Linked DNA regions of Schizosaccharomyces pombe. Changing the gene in region 1 together with any one later gene gives a genetic interaction. Each region holds a gene or a part of one and is shown on either strand. Other genes may lie near its edges.

Region 1 (5,145 bases):
CTGTTAATTAGTGCATTCTAATTGTTTTATTTCATAGCTTCTTCGAAGCTTCGTGTAATCTTATATTGTTTTAAATAGCTCAAAATTAACTGCAGTTTTTGTTATTTGATAATTTTACGATTAATACATAACTATTGTTTAATTTAATATCTAAATTTTTTCATGTCAACCGTTTGAGACAAACTAAACCCATTGATATTAATATAATTAAATTAGGCGGATTTGATCGTAAACTAAATATAAATCTATAAGGACTCGATGTTGCTTGTTTTGTTATTTTAGGCCCCTTTTTCAAATATGGCTCCAATTCGCCTGTTAATATTCAATTGTATCCTATCTTAGCAAGCTGGTGTTTTCTCTCCCAAAACCTCAAGTTTTAGAAAATAGCAATTTAATGTAGCTGCTTCAACACTCCACCCTACTATTTATATCATTACTAAGAACGAATATAGAGTCTCTTTTTTATCTTTAACTAAACGAAGATTCAATTTACTTTTATTTATAATAAGGATTTTTATTGCCCGCTTGGCATGAGTAAATAATGATCCGGTATGGAAGATCTATTAAACAATGCTAAACAGCATTTGTGTATGAGGAATCCAAAGCTAATTCGAATTGGTTTGCGTCAAGTCGAATCTATTGTATATCATGTTGCGAAACCTAGTCATGATGATAAAATTCCAAGAGAAATTTTCCTAAAATTACAGGATTCACCATTGTATAATTCTACTACCCCTTGCATTTACGCTTTGGACAGTCTCCTTGAATATCAGCAGAATGAAGAGGCATACGAAAAAAACTTTCAATTCATTCAAAAGCTAATTGATGACTTACTGCATGTGATTGAAGGATTGGTTTTAATCCATCCAAAATCACAGACGTTATTTGAAGATAAAGCTACCTTAAGGTTATTTATTCATTTATTACAGCCATCTCAGCCATCTATGTTGCAAGTGGCTGCAATGAAAACGCTTGTATGTATCATGGCAGATCGTCCACTGGCTATTAGGCTTTTTGAGCAGATTAATGGCTTGCAGCAGATATGCGTAGTTTTTAAGCACAAACAAACAAGTCAGGACACCCGATTTCAAATTCTCGAATTTTTCTATTTCTATTTATCCCCTGAACCATATTCTATAGATGTCATTGCCTACAGGAAAACGCGGACTGAGAAACAAGCTTACCTATCCAAATATCTTTCTAACGTACAAGGGCTTCGAGATGATTTAGATAAGTTTCAACCATTTGGCAAGTTAGACGAAACATTCGACTAGTTAGATGCAATGCCTGGTGCAAAAAAATGTTTAAAGTCTCATTGTTAACTTATTTTTGAAAATTTAGTATTCATTTACTAAAGAATTTCTAATGTTAATGTTAAATTATTAATCGATCATCTTACTATTGAAAGTATTCCAGCATCCTATAGCATTTGTAAAAAGTCAACCAGTTTTACTTTCATACTACTAAGAGATCCCAAACCTCCAGAATCCAGCTAAACGAACTGTGAAGACCGACAAAGATTCCGTCCCAACATGTGATATCAACTAAACTGCGTCCCTCCCCAATATCGTCTCGACGACGCAAAAAACTGAAAGAAGGAAGTCTTTGTGTGTGGGCCAAAGATGACACATTTGCACCGATACTAGAGGATATCTCATACGAAGGAGCAGTTCCTATATTTGAAGAACCCGATAACGAAGAAATGTTAAAACTGGGGGATGCAAACGTTCCATTGCTAGAGGAGGCTGTTGTTTTTGAACGGGAGGAGGAGTAGTCATTCTTTGTATTGAAAGAAGAAATCCTTAGAAACTGGACTATATGAAGAAACTTTTCAGAAATAAAACTATATCGCAAAATCAAATCTAACTGATTTGGACAAGTAGCAATAATCGCATATCTTCGAAGTCCTCCCCGGGCAGAGGGATCTCTTAAAGAAAAAGACTGACTAATAACGTAACCGTTATCTTGGTCTCCAAAGAACAAAGGATTTGACATAGAATCGGAAGCTTCAGATAGTGTTGAATATTCACAGCTCAAGCAGCGAACCATTAATCGCTTAAGGGTAGAATATCGTTGCTGAGTATGTGGATGTTGACTAGACATGTATAAAACATCGGGGTTTGTACTTGAGTTTGTATAAAGTCGTGGTTGAACATCAGGTACAGAGAATTCAAGGGGTAAAACAGTACTACATGTAACACAAGATGATTTTCTCGAAATAGGGCTTTGATTTCGAGAGTATGAGTTATGAAATGAGTTTACTCGGGGGGATTCTGGTCCTTTCGATACCTTTTTACATAAATAATCTTCAGAATCAGCTTTGAAAAGTGATTCGGTAGAACTTTGTAAAGATTGAGAATCGGCATTGTTTCGATTATCGAGTTCATTTTTGAAGGCTTCTGGTGAATCATTACCATTCTCCGTTACGCCAATAGAGCGCTTAGATGTAGGATGCTCAAAAAATTTTGAAACGGTAGAGCGATGCAATTTTTGAGTGCAAAAAATAATGGAAGGCCCCTCGGCCTCACAGAAATGTCCAAGAGCAAAAACAACATCCATTATGACTATTATGGAAATTTGGTGAGATAAAAGTGTTTAGTTGACAAAGGCGATCTGAAAGCAAATGTTTAGAAAGCGACAATGAACTTGAAAAGTTTTGATGGTGTATAATAGCTTCTAAATAATGCCTTCAAATCTAATGATTAATAAGGTGATACGTTTTAAAGTCGATAAAATGTAAGATGTGCATTCGTTCGAAAACAACCTTTTGTACTTTACCGATTTACCAAGCAAACATTCAGTTATACTGAGGTATTTCGAAAAGATTGAGGATTAGAAAAAAAATGGATTAAAGAGCTTGAAACGCTCCAGATACTGAAATTGATATGAAAATTCCTGATAAATTAGAGGATATATGTGTGCGTCTTCATCTCACACAGTACCAAAATATAATAAACACACTAGAATCTGTCCAGTTTACATTAAAAGAATTAAAAAAAAAGTTTTTCTGTTTGGAAAAAGCGGTTGATTTTCTCACTTCAAGGAATAGAATGTTCAGAAGTTTATACCAAGTTCCACATTTCCGATATTGTAGGGGAATGCTGAAGAGTCGCAAATGAGGGAATTTACGAAAAGCTAGTAATTAAGAAACTTCAAAAATGAAAACGACCTTCATAGAAAACAAGTAAAAATGCGAGTGCGTTGAGAGGGGGAGGAAGAGGTTAAAAACTGACGAGCTACAAAAAAGCGTAAGGTATCAATTAGTGCCTCTACTGTTTCGATTACTAAATACAGCCACAAACTATTGATAGTAATGTATATAAGAATTGGTATATTAAATCGTGTAAAACACAATTGCAATATGCGCGCGACCGGGCAAATCCAAGTCAGCTAGCTACCTAAGTGATACCACCAACCAATGTTTGGGTACACCCCAACACTACAAGATATGCTAACGTTTTAATTAACACAAAAACAGATGTAATTTTATTTAAATTCTGTAGAATTATCATTATATAAACAAAAAGAATGCACCATTTCTATCTATAATGTGGAAGTCTTATTTTTAAAGACAGGAGCAGCATAAATTTCAGGAGGATCATCCTTGTTTTCCATAATATAATTTTCAATCTCTTCGAGCTTCCAAGCATATTTGGCACACAACATGTTACAATTAACGGCCACGGTAGGATTGTGTAAAGCATGTTGCAAAGCCATTCTTGCAACATGATAACGAGAGGTATTGTTACACATCATCATATTAAAAGGAGTGGTAGTAGTACCTTCCTCTCGATAGCCCTCCATAGTGACCCGTGTACCTTGTATGCGATCAAACAAGAGAGCCTTCAAGTCCATCACATAACCGTGATAGTTGAAATGAACATGGCGATCTTTGGTAAACAAAGAATCAAATTCCGCAGGATTCATACCATGGGGATGTAAGCTCGAAAGTACCATCAAGTCAGTGACGTTAATGACACGCACTCGGAGCTCAGGAATGTCATTTTGAAGCATCTCTGCGGCTTTAACTACTTCAAACATAATCTCATTTCCGACGCCGGCAATAACAACATCAGGATTTTCGCCATTATCTGTACTAGCAAACTTCCAAACACTAGCACCGGCCTTGCAATGATGTTCGGCCTCTTCAACAGATAGGTAGGCTGGTTGTGGATTTTTACTAGAAACCATAAGGTTGATAGTATTCTCAGACTTCATGCATCGGGCGACGGTTGCTAAGAAGCAATTGGCATCCGGTGGGAAGTATACGCGGCTAACACCAGGTTTCAGAGAGAGCATAGTGGTGATAAACCTGGGTGATTGATGGGAGAAACCGTTATGCTCTTGTCTTGCCCAAGTACTGGAAGTAACATAGTTCAAGCTACCAAATTTTCCATGCCATCCGGTCTCCAAGCCCATCTTCAAAAATTTGGAGTACTGAACAAGCATACTAACAACAATAGTCATAAAGGCTTCATATGAGGGGAAAATCGCGGTACGTCCAGTTAAAGTATAACCCTGCATGAAACCTTGGCAAAGGTGCTCTGAAAGGACTTCGGTAACGCGACCACGCTTTGCCATGAGCTCTGGATCAGTTTGCATGGTACGATATGAGTGCTTCAAAGCGCCATCTAATTTATTACTTTCCAACTCATCGGGTGAGAAAATTCTAAGGGTTGAATCGTTGGTTACGAGGAGTTCATCAAGATATTGACCAACGACCGAAGTGGCACTAGTGGTTTCTCCCTTCTTGACACCGTATTTTTTCCAATCAGGTACCTTCAAAGGTAGATAAGAATTGTATGTCTCATGACGCTGACCCATGCGCTTCTCACGAGGCGGAAGATGCTCGGTGATGCCCTTAGTAGGAAGTCCATGTTCGTCTAAGAAGTCTTGGCAGTTGTAGCTGTTCAGCCAATCCTTTAGAAGATTGCGCTGGTTGGTATCGGTGCGAGCCAATTTCAAAGGAACTTGGTGAGCACGGAAGGTACCTTCTAAAAATTTGCCATTCAAATACTTGGGACATCCTTTACCCTTAGGGGTACGAAGGATAATCATGGGCCATCTGGGTTTGATTTCTTCTCTGTTAACACGAGCGCGATGTTGGATGTCATGAATGCGTTCAACGGCCCAATCCATAGTTGC
Region 2 (3,319 bases), 1.9 Mb from region 1:
AAACCCGTATCGCAGACCTCCAAGACATGGTATTATTTCGACACGGTTCAACTGGAGTTTGTAATGTTTTAGCAAAGGCAATGGAACTTTTAAATTTGATTCCAGTTTTTCCCGTTAAAAACGTTCACAATTTTGCAAACTCTCCTAATGAAGGTGTTTTCAGAGATTGCATCTTAGTGAAGCAAGGAACGACTGCTGGACAGGTATCTCAAATGGTATTGGGTGGAGAAGCAATGTCTATTGTGGGTGTAAATGGAAACGTCGGCGAATCTGATGTTATTGTCCCAGGTAAAACGGATATCCTTCACTTTCGATTGCGGAAAGCTGAAGCTTAAGTGATTCATGAAGAAAAGTGGTAAAAGGTCGATTTTGGGAAATATTCAAAATAGTTTTGTATAGATGTTAATAAACAATACTATGTCTAAAAATTAATTTGGTTAGTTTAAAACTTCCGAAGAGCTAACTCAACAAATTACGTCTACAATGTCTGGCTGTACTTTCTCCACTATGTATTACATTGACTAAATTTTAAAACCATAGTTTAGGTACTTGTATATTTGAAATAAAGAGTCGAAATCTTGTAAACCCATGTGTAAAAAAACACGTTTGTGTGCAAAGTATCACCTCATGTAATGTAAGCCCATATCTTGCATTAGCAAAGATAAAATCGTTAATTCAGTTAAAATAAATTAATCCATAATATGATAAATTCAAGCAGAAGCTTAGGCGATAACACAACCCTTTCCATCACCAGGAGGGGAAGGATTTGCTTGTTTTTCAATTTCGCTGATAATTAGCTCGAATGCTCGAGCAACATTTTCGTTATGGCGAGCTGAAGCTTCTGTCCATGCACATTTCCATTCATTGGCCAATGCTTTTCCCTCTTCAGCGGTAACAGCACGCTGCATATGCAAGTCGCTCTTATTGCCAACAACCACAATGGGGACCCACTCAGTACCCTTAATAGCAAGTAGGTTAGTAAAAAATTTAAAAATTCTAATAATTTGACATACAGTGTGATTCAATATCTTGTCACGAACTATTTTAACCATCTCAAAAGAAGATTTGCTAGTAATGCTGTAAACGAGTACATAGCCATGGATTCCAATGGAATGCTTAGAATTTAAGATACTGTATTCATCTTGACCAGCCGTATCGATAATTTCAGTAGCAAATTCTTGACCCTTATACTTGATGTTCTTGCTGAATGTATTTTCAATAGTTGGATAATACGATTCAACGAAATGGTTTTCAACATATTGCACCGTTAAACTATTTAAAAAAAATGGTTAGTAAACCTATTTGCGCATAAACTTCAATCAAACGCTTACCTGGACTTTCCAACAGAACGACTGCCAAGAACAGCAATTCTACGAGATTTAATAGGAGCCATTGTTTAAATTAGAAAATTTCAAGATTATAATATTTAAAAAGGCAAATTATTAACTATAGAGTGATCGTAAAAAAAAGTGAGTGAAAGCAACGATGTTGTGGATGTCACGTTCCCAGCGCGCCGCAAAGGTCATTTTACCAAGTCACTGCGCAAGTAGTCTTGCAACGATTTATGTAGTTCATCAATTATAGAAACAATGGCTAGTCCATTAGAACCCATCATCATTAATTCCTCTTTCAATTTCAAATGAAAATTTTTAAATTTATGTAGAGATTCGTAAAACTGAGATATCAAAGGCTTGAGTTGGGCAAACGCTTTGGGATCATTTAAAAAGCAATGGCTTAAAATCATTACGACATATCCACTAATTTCTACGATACTTTCCTACATTTGTTAGAAATGTCTTACAACAGAAGTAGTACAACTTACGTTCTTTTGATAAAACGAAATGAGGACATCGAGTGCTGAAGCTCCGAAAGAAACTAAATAGAATTAGTAAAAATATTAATAAAAGGAACTTACCTTCAACATGAGTGATAGTTTGAATAAACTCATGAGATTCCTCAACTAGCCCTAGTAAAAGACCAAGGATTAAGATAATTAGTTCTCGTGTAGTTTCATCATCGGACGAAAAATTAGAAAACTTTTGTAAAATTTTATAAGCAAACAATGGGACTTCTGATTTAGAAACCGCTAACGCATGATCACTGTTAGAATTAACTGTTTGAATCAAAGTACGCAACAATTTTTCACTGCATGCATGGACAACTGTATCGTCAATTTTTGGTGAATTTGTTTCATTGTGTTCATCAATTAAAATTTGTAACTTTGAGGATAAGATCTGTGAAACCTTCTGAATCTTTTCTGATCCCTGGAAATCCGTAAATTTTTCTAAAGAACTACAAAGTGCATGAAGTAAGAAGTTATTGCTTCCATCGTTTTCCTTCAAGATGGGGTAGGATTTTTCTATTAAAAGATTGATTAATTCGGTAAACAACTCGCTTTCCGCAAAAACTCCCGAGGACGTCTTCATAAGAGCGATAGCTGCAAGACTGATAGAATCAGAAGAAGCAAGAGACTCATTGCTAAAACTAAAAGTAAGCTCTGCCTTTATAACGAATTCTTGAACGGCTCCCTTTACACTTTTTGGTAAGCTTTTTGCCAAAATTGAAACCGGTACCTGCGGTTCTAAAGTAATAGCCGTTTGCAAAAGAAGTTTAACATTGTTTGAGTAAGCATCAAGCAAGGAACTCATGCAATCCATTTCATTAGCCATAGTTGCAAATATATAAATCTGCAAAAAAGTGTGTAAAGTATCTTTAGGATCAATTTCTTCAAATATTCGCAAGAAGACATCCCGTATCGACTTTAAGCATAAACGAAATGAATTGTCAAACATTTTTTCAGCGATTCCTATTAAACTCAAATAGCGAGAAGCAGAAGAGTTACCTGAGAAAGTCACTCCGTCCACTAAGTATTCAATTTCATCAACGATCCTTTGCTGCTCTCCAGCAAAGCGAAGTTCATGTATACTTTTCATTTGAATTTCATCATCTTCTGATACGTCTTCCTCTATCAAAAAAGCACGTTCTGTACCAATAGTATGGTTGGTTGAATCCAATTCTCGACCAGAGGATACTTCACGGGGTACAATTGGCTGAGTATCTAATCCTTCCTCCATCAAATACGATCTTTGTTCCCGATAGGTAGTGGAAGAATGGTTTGCGGAAGCATCAATACTACTACAGCTCGCGGACCTTTCCAGTCCTGTCTTATGAGAACCGTACTTTGAATTCTGAAGTCCATTTCTTAAAATTTGTTTTACCGGTGAAGACGGTAAACTCAAATCAGGATTACTAACGACCCTTTGCTTTTTATGCAGTCGTTTAGACACGGTCTGTCCTGGCGAGCGCTTTTGCTTGTTTA

What was found. A genetic interaction does not mean that the proteins touch.
Region 2: mutations in bhd1 (region 1) and rhb1 are lethal when combined (synthetic lethality), as found in Schizosaccharomyces pombe (one study listed by BioGRID).

What each region holds. Positions count from the first base shown.
Region 1 is NC_003423.3:2,331,719-2,336,863, forward strand, and holds bhd1 (folliculin bhd1), read right to left. Parts: upstream 3,224-5,145; 5' UTR 2,560-3,223; coding exon 1,456-2,559; 3' UTR 1,275-1,455; coding exon of another isoform or gene 552-1,274; 3' UTR 510-551; downstream 1-509. Other genes in the region: SIN component Cdc14, read left to right, coding at 552-1,274; SPOM_SPBC24C6.09C (phosphoketolase family protein), read right to left, coding at 3,544-5,145.
Region 2 is NC_003423.3:473,105-476,423, forward strand, and holds rhb1 (Rheb GTPase Rhb1), read right to left. Parts: upstream 1,394-3,319; coding exon 1,332-1,393; exon of another isoform or gene 1,273-1,331; coding exon 1,014-1,272; intron 960-1,013; coding exon 723-959; 3' UTR 566-722; downstream 1-565. Other genes in the region: SPOM_SPBC428.15 (Obg-like ATPase), read left to right, coding at 1-335; wpl1 (WAPL family protein), read right to left, coding at 1,523-1,777, 1,823-1,875, 1,916-3,319. UniProt on the Schizosaccharomyces pombe protein: Binds GTP and exhibits intrinsic GTPase activity. Regulates entry into stationary phase when extracellular nitrogen levels are adequate for growth.